Macaca fascicularis: one gene and its partner. The protein of the gene in region 2 interacts with the protein of the main gene of each other region in a pairwise test. Links are inferred from orthologs where the notes say so. Each region holds a gene or a part of one and is shown on either strand. Other genes may lie near its edges. The genes, in order: ARL14EP and SETDB2.

Region 1 (3,819 bases), on a different chromosome or scaffold from region 2:
GTAAAAAAAAAAAAAAAAAAAAAAAAAAATAGCACTTTGTAGAGAATAAAGTGAAGCACCAATAAAAGGAGGTATGTCCGTACATATACACCAATGCTTTTCAAATAAGTGAATTACTTTAATTGTAATTATTTTAACTCTCATGCCAAAATGATTTGCTTCAGTTCACTGCTACCTTCTTAGAAACAAATTTTTGGAATTGAAAGGGATACCTTAATTTTATATGAGTAAAAACAAAGGCCTTCATAGGTTTTTACTAATTCCATATTATCCAATTTAAAATATGAACCCAGAAAATTCAAAATTTAAGAGAAAAATAGGGGAACAATGCAGATGTGAAGCAGCAAGTTAACATGTCTTCAATAACACTTAGCCTACCTGTCTGAACCAGCGGTTGCATTTTTTGTAAGCCTTCTTTTTTCTCTTTTACCAGTTTCCGGAGCAAATTCAGTTTGCCTTCCTGGATTTGTAAATTGTAGTGACCTCAAAGCTTTAGCAGTTCTTCCCTGAAGAAAGGTAAACAAATTATCAACTCAAATCTAGACATCAGACAATAACATTTCATTTAATGTTAAACCAGATGACTTCCTAACCTGGAAGGCAGTCTGGAACATACAAAAAAGAAAACAAGGTTTTCTTGCACTTAGGTTTTAGAGCCTAAGTGCAAGAAAGTTTACACGGCCCTAGATCATATTCAAAGTGTATTGGTTAATGTATTAGTAACATTTTCATTATTTGATTTTAGTCTCTGGTATATTAGGAGCAGAGGAGGAAGGCATTGTGAAAACCGCTAATGGCTGCTGCCAACACAGGCAAGAAGGCACAAAAACTGCTGTATAATCCAGTGGCACATAACTGATTTCCTAACAATCCTGGGTCCTTAAGGATTTCTTGTTGTTTAAGGGTTTATGTTTGTTATTTGGGGAGGAAAGAGCTGCAGCTGATATATTCTACAAGAACATTGGATAGATAAGGTGAAGACATCCACAGTGACATCATCAGCAAGTATCTAGTATGAACTGCAGATAAACTGGGCCCTCAAGATGTTCCTCTCAGAAGAGAACAACAGGAAAATAGTATAATTTCAAATTTCAACTATCTTTTAACTTGGTTTAATAAAAAGGAGAAAAATATTCCAGAGGTAAGAATTATGAAATAATTACAAGTAAAAATTATGAGAAGTGCTTCCTTGGCATGCTTGTCCTACACAAAAGATAGCTTTACGAAATCTTAAGTTGTTCTGATACGGTTAAATATGCATGTAGGCATGTCAATAAGGAATAGAGGAAAAATATTTAATACTTTACAATGTAAAAATTTATTATTATTATTTTTTTACCACGACGAGTCCTAAAATCAGCCTTGACCATACCAAGTAGGAATTCAGAGCTAGAAGCAAAGAAAACTCACAAGCATTTAAAAAACTCAAGAATGGGATAGTGTCAAAGGAGAAAGAAAGAGTGAAATAAAAAACAATTACTATAAGTCATCTCTCTAATGTTCCTTTTAAAGCGGTGATTTCCAGGTCCTTCATATAAAGGCAAATTCATCCTGCTTCAAAGACACTTGCTGTTTGCTATGTCCCATGTAGTCACTTTGGTATCAGAAAAGAAACAAAATTTTGGCTTGGCCGGAATGTTCTGAAACCCACTCCTAAAGTCTTCGTACTAAAAGTTGTAGCTTGGAGTCTCAGGCATATTTTATTATTCCTTTCCCAAGCCTACTTTCTTTATCCCCCAGTCTTGACCTTCAGTGTATGTGAATAATATTTAGACACATCATCCACTTTCACCCCCTCCTTTTAATTCACTGTATCCTAGCAAATATAGTAATACTGTAAATATGATTTTCTTATAGTTAAGCAAAATCCTACATGGTAGAATTCACATAGAAAAAAATGAATATTATACATACATCTGACTCAGGTTTCCTTTTCTGGCGGTCTTCAGTATCAACATCCACACTTCCATTGATTATCTGTGTGCATTTTGGACAAAGCTTCCAACCAGGTACAAGCTGTCTTCCGAATTTTGCACTCAGAAAAGTGGCATCATCTAAGTCAATTACATGCAAATTTTTTTTGGCTAATTTTTTGTGTATGTTAAATGGGTCACAACACGACTTCTGTAAATCCTCAAATCTGTCAATGTAAATTTTTACATGATGAAAGCAAATTGTATTGTTCCCAGAAAGTGTCATTCCAGTTCTAAGTTGAAGTAAAAGCATATCATTTGATGACAATTCTTGCAAAGTCTTAAAACCTGTGTGACGAGTATAGTAGGTTTTATGGCACTCATTTGTAGTACGAAGCTGGACTCCAACTGAACATGGATCCATCATTCTTGATTCTAGCAAATTTTCCCTGTTTTATTTTGTCTAGAGGTCTAGGTCATGGGCTGATCACCCTAGAGAAAATATTAAAGAGAATCAAATTTGTGCTGCAAGTTTATCTAGGAAACTGAAAATGTATTTGATAAAATTCAACACCTGTCTAAAAGAAAATAAGGAATAAAAAAGGTATTTACCAAAGTCCTATAATAGACATTTAATAATCAAACAGAAGCATTCCCTGAAAAGTCAGAACTTGGCGAGAACACCTGCAATTACAGATTATATTTAAGACTATATAAGAATTAAAAAGGAGGAAATAAGAAATATTATCCAAAGATACATGAGAAATACAAGAGGTTTAACAAACCATTAGAACTAATAAGAGAATTCACCAGGGATGCTAGAAACCGAAAAACACTGTATCTTACAAAATATGTGACTCTTACAAAAAATATGTAACAAGTCCTTCATGGAGAAAATTATCAAACTGAAAGACAAAAAAGGTACCCTAAATAAATGCAGCTATATATCATGGAGTGCCTCATTATAAAAAATCTGTCAATTATCCAGGAATACATCTGTAAATTCAGTTTTATTCCAATCAAAGTTCCATCAGATATTCTACTCCCACCCCACTGGAATTTAGCAAGCTGGCCTATATCAAAGAGTAAAGGTCTAAGAAAGCCAAGGTAATCATGAAGGAAAATACAGTAACATATTGATTTACTATAAACCTATTCTAATTGAAACTATGGTATTGGTATAGTATAAACAAACAGATCCATGAGTAGAAGAGGGCTTGGTATATGACATGTGGTACTATTAATCAATGGGTATCACACACTAATGAAGAAGGGACTTTAACCAGTTAACCATATGGAAAAAGGATTAGATCTCTTCTGCACAAACAAAAATCAATTACAGGTGGATTAAAGAATTAAACATGAAAAGAAAAACTAAACATTTTATGAGAAAATAAAGAAGATTTTCTGACATGGGAGTAGGGAAGAATTATTCAAACAAGCAAGCAGGTACCAAAAAAAATAAAAAGATGGATACATTTGATTATATGTAAAATTTACACATTTCTGTATAACTAAAGGAGAAAAAAATGACACTTGAAAGGTGTTGTTAGGATTATTATTGTAAATATTCGAGTAACCCCTCACTTTAAAAAATCAATTAGAAAATGACAGAGTCCATTGGAAAACTAAACAAATATAGTTAGGCAATTCACAGAGAAAGAGAACAGCATACAAACTGTTTCCCTCATAGTTCCTAGGAAAATGCAAATTAAGTATCATTTCTTAAACATTTGCTTGAAATCAATTTAAAAATCTGATATCTGGTTAAGATGTGTCCAACCCTTACATGCTCCTTATAATAACTTTGGTAGGAATGTAAATTGCTGCAACTGCTTTAGAACCTTTTCTGCAATTTCTTGTAAAACTGAGGAAGCATATACCTTGGGACTGACCTCTTTTCAGT
Region 2 (4,600 bases):
ATCAAGAAACTGACAGATAAAGTGGGCAAAAAATCAGGGTATAAAGGATTTAAATGACAATTAACAAGCTTAATCCAAAAAATGTATAGAACCCTGCACCCAACAGAAAATACTTCTTGTGGGAGGAAACTGTAGACAAACTTAACTCTCATAAACTACCTGTGGAACGTGTAATTTAGTACAGGTATTTTGGAGGAAATTTAGCAAGACCTATTAAAACTAAAAAAGCTCACAGCTTAAAACCAAGCAATTCCACTTTTACGTATAATATCCTTAACAAATAGTACATGTGCACAAGAAAACACAAAGATTTTCCTTGCAGCATTGTTGTATGGCAAAAAACTGGAAACCTAATGTTCTCAAGAGAATGGCAATAAAATGTGCTATACAGCACACATCAAACAAAATAGGATTTAACAAAAAGACCAGTAAAAGAGACAAAGAGAAATATTTTATATTAACAGATCAATTGAGTCATACACTATGCAGCAGCTAAAAGAAACGATCCATAAATAACATAATGACCTATAAATAACATGTACAGACTGCAAAACCAATGTCAAGAAATAAAGCTACAGAATGATGTAGTATGGTATTTTTCCACTAAAAAAATACAAACGTATATATTCACCTATATAGAATATGTAACAGTATTAAAAGGTGTAAGTATTAAAAAACACTTGACAGCTCTGTACCAAAGTCTCCAGCAGGAGTAGGGAGGGAGAGGAGTGAGGGAACATTCCTTCTACAAAACTTTCAAAGAACAGAGAATTTTTATTATATAGGAACTTCCAAGCAGGAAAAATACGGGAAGCTACTCAACTGTTTCTACGAGATAAATATAACCTTGACAGGCAAGAAAAAACTCAAGGTCAAAATCTGGATTGTGCTCTTTATCTACAAGGTATCAATTTTGTAATAAAAGTGTACTTAATTTTTAAAAATTAAGTATATATAAATGTTCAAAAAGGAATTGTTCATTTTAAAGCTTTTTATAGCATATTGTCAAACTCTCTTCCAGAAAGGTTCTACCAATTTATACTTCCACTTAAGCACATTCAGTAATAGTTTTATTTTACTTTTTTTTTAGACATGAGGTCTCATTATATTGCCCAGGTTGGTCCTGAATTCTGGACTCAAGCGATCTGCCCCGCCGGCCTCCCAAAGTGATGGGATTACAGATGTGAGCCACCGTGCATGGCCATAGCTTTGTTTTTTTTGAGACGGAGTCTCGCTCTGTCACCCAGGCTGGGGTGCAGTGACGTGATCTCAATGCAGCCTCCGCCTCCCGGGTTCAATCGATTCTCCTGCCTCAGCCTCCCGAGTAGCTGGGATTACACGGGCCCGCCACCACACGCCTGGCTAATTTTTGTATTTTTAGTAGAGACGGGGTTTCACCATGTTGGCCAGGCTGGTCTTGAACTCCTGACCCGAGGTGATCCGCCCGCCTCAACCTCCCAAAGTGTGGGGATTACAGGCCTGAGCAACCGCGCCGGCCCGTATCTTTGTTTTTAAGCAGCTCTCAGCAGCGTTCACACCTGAAAATTTGAAAACAACTGAACGCGCAAAAGTGAAACATGTTTCCTGGAGAAAATCTGCAAAATACAATAAAGTATGAAAGAGAAAATTTAAACACCATCCCATCATCCAGAGACAACTGGTGTTAATATTTCAGAGAGTAAATGGGCTTAAAAAACTTTTTTCCCCTTCTTTTTCATTTTGGCATAATAACTAAGCCAGTCTGCTTTGCTTCAATGTATGGTCCCTCTTCGTTTCTAAAAATAGGCCTTAAAAACACACTGACCATTTCCTATCGGCTCCTTACGTTTTAATTATAACGACAGAACCACGGGTTAGTCACGCTTCTAAGTATTTCACGTGTTCTTATTTAATCCCCCTAACAGTCATGTGGGTTACATTGGCAGCTCGTTTGCTGATGAGGAAGCTAAGGCATGTCATACCATAAGTGGCAGACACAAAATAAGGAACCAAGCAGCATGGTTTCAGAGCCTATGCTTTGGTTACTCCATTTGACCTTTTCAAAGTTACTCCTCTCTTTGGCCTCATGCGTTAATATTTACAGAGCTCACTGCAGCTTTCCACATGCCAAAGAGCACAGTTAGTTACATATCTTTCCTTACTTAATTACTTATTGGGCTGCGGCTGATAGCGAGTTAGAAGTGTTACTATCTAATCTGAACTCAGTTATCTTGGATGAATGACTGAACTTGCTGTATTTAAGGGCTCGTGTAATCTTACCTGTGAAATGGGCTAGTGGTTAAACCTTCAAGTTCTGCTTCTGGGTTTTATACTGCTGTCCATTTCCTGCCGCCCCTTTGACAGCCTCACGTTCCCAGCAGCTTAGGAATCACCTCATAAAGGCTGCACCCTGAGACAGACAGACAGGCTGAATGAAATGGAGGTTGAGAATTCAATGCGCCCGCGGCCCCTTCTGCAGCCAGGACTGTACTTGGGTGCCAGGAGAAGGGAGGCTGCAAGGGCTAGGGTCCAGTCCCTGTTCGGGCGGCCGAGGGCTCCGCGGCGTTGTCAGGTCCTCCGAACCGCCCGGCTAGAGGAACTGTCGGGGGTCACCCACCGCGGTGCCTCGGTTTCACCTGGCTCCACTGCGTTTTCTACGCTGCCCGCCTGACCTGGGGAGTGATCTCTGCCAGCTCCGTTGGCGAGGCTGGGTTCCTCCGCGGGTGGGACTCTCCTCTGACGCCAAGCCGCCCAGACCTCCCGAGCGCAGGTGCCCTCTGGCCGGGAAGTACTTCACCATTTACTAGCCTTCATCTCAACCACAACAGTCCCGCCTCGCCTCCACCCGGGATAAGGCACGGCGGAACCTCCGCCGGGGACCAGGCCGACCCACCTAAAGCGATCACTACATGGGAGGAGTCGGACGCCGGCCGTCCCACCACCCAGCCTGGAGCCCATTGATTGGTCGCACTCCCTACTGGTTCACGCCTCAGAGACTCGGCGCGCTTACCGCTGGCACCGCAGTGGCGCCCGAGCGCGCCGCCTCTCGATTGGCTGCTAGCGCTCTCGGCTTGTCTCGCGCTCTCTCGCTGGGCCAATGGAGTTACTCGTAGTCGAGAGGCCGGCATCACTGGAGTGGTGGCGCAGCTGTTTCCTCCGGTAGGTGTGGGGCTGCCATCTTGTGTGTGGCTGGGACTGGGCTTCTTGGGGGTTGAAAACTTATATAGCGTCTCGCCGTAGTGGAGGGGTCCAGAGAGAACACTGGGGTAGAGGAGAGGCCTAAGGGAGGAGACCCAGCGCCTTCTCACTTGCGGAGAGGATGGGTTTCCTTCCTGGGCCTGAGTCTCATCCCTGGCTAGAGAGAGCGAGGAGTGGTGGTGGTGGTAGTTGTGGTGGTGGTTGTGGTGGTGGTAATAGTAGGGATCCCAGGTTTTGGTTTGTTGGTCGTTGTGGGGGCTGGGCGGTGTCTTTGATGCCTTAACATTCACGCCTTGGTTCCGGGGAGCTCTTTAGTAATCTTTGTCTCACAAAGATTCTGGCCATCAACCCCCTTTGACAAAGGAGGCTAGCTGATGAACTGCCTGATTGAGAAAGAAGCAAAGCTAGTAATGGAAGGGGAGTGCCTCACTACTATTCTCAGGTTCAAAAGAGACCTCCTCTTCCGTCATTTTCGAGGGAGCGGCTGCTAAACTGTTTGCTCTTCGCGAGGGTTACTCTTTGAGACCATCCTTTGGTAATAGTGGGGGTCAAGTTTTGCGTTTGGGCAAGATTGTTCTTTAGCGGGCATTCAAGCATTCCTACAGCTGTCTTTTTTTTTTTTTTTTTTTTTCCCTTCATTTTAAGCTAGAAAGTGGTGGTCTTGGCGGAAACGGGACGTGAAGGAAGAATTTTGTCAAATCTTGATTTCCGCGATAACGATATATTATAAATCTCTGGGTCTGCCATGACGTGCTTGGTCACTTCATGGAGCAGGAGGAAGCTTTGTTAGGGAAAGCACCTTAATTTCTGAGCTCTTTCTGGGTGGGAGGAAGAAGACAGGACTTAACCTCGTTTTCCTTCCTCCCTTTTTTTTTTTTTTTTTTTTTTTTTTTTAGCATTGTAATGGACGGCATGCATTGTCTTTCATTTGAGGGGAAAATGTGTTGGATCTGAAGAGCAAGCTGATGAAAGGCTAATATTTTGTGGTAGATTTTAGCAGTTTGACTTGCATGAAAAGAAAGCCAATATATTATTGCCTTGAGCTTAGATTTCAGTTATTCAGCATTAACTGATGAACAACCGAATCAACAATACATGGTAAAGACATCTCCCATCAGGAATACCAAACAACAAAACAAACAGCAAAATAATTGATATTTGTTTGTTTGTTTTTGTCGCCCAGGCTGGAGTGCAAAGTGTAATGGTGCAATCTTGGCTCACTGCAACCTCTCCCTCCCTGGTTCAAGCGATTCTCCTGCTTCAACCTCTTGAGTAGCTGGGACTACAGACACCAGCCACCCTGCCCAGCTAATTTTTGTATTTTTAGTAGAGATGGGGTTTCACCATGTTGGCCAGGCTGGTCTTGAACTCCTGACCTTAGGCGATCTGCCCGCCTCAGCCTCCCAAAGTGCTGGGATTACAG

The links.
Region 1: the proteins of SETDB2 (region 2) and ARL14EP interact in binary tests that used the Homo sapiens proteins (3 or more experiments, as listed by UniProt). The two-hybrid records come from large-scale screens. The link is inferred for Macaca fascicularis from reciprocal best matches to the Homo sapiens genes SETDB2 and ARL14EP.

Annotation. Positions count from the first base shown.
Region 1 is NC_088388.1:35,223,543-35,227,361, forward strand, and holds part of ARL14EP (ARL14 effector protein), read right to left. Parts: intron 2,406-3,819; 5' UTR 2,341-2,405; coding exon 1,915-2,340; intron 507-1,914; coding exon 379-506; intron 1-378.
Region 2 is NC_088391.1:28,603,564-28,608,163, reverse strand, and holds the start of SETDB2 (histone-lysine N-methyltransferase SETDB2), read right to left. Parts: upstream 2,901-4,600; 5' UTR 2,873-2,900; intron 2,851-2,872; exon of another isoform or gene 2,390-2,850; 5' UTR 2,260-2,389; intron 1-2,259. UniProt on the Homo sapiens protein: Histone methyltransferase involved in left-right axis specification in early development and mitosis. Specifically trimethylates 'Lys-9' of histone H3 (H3K9me3).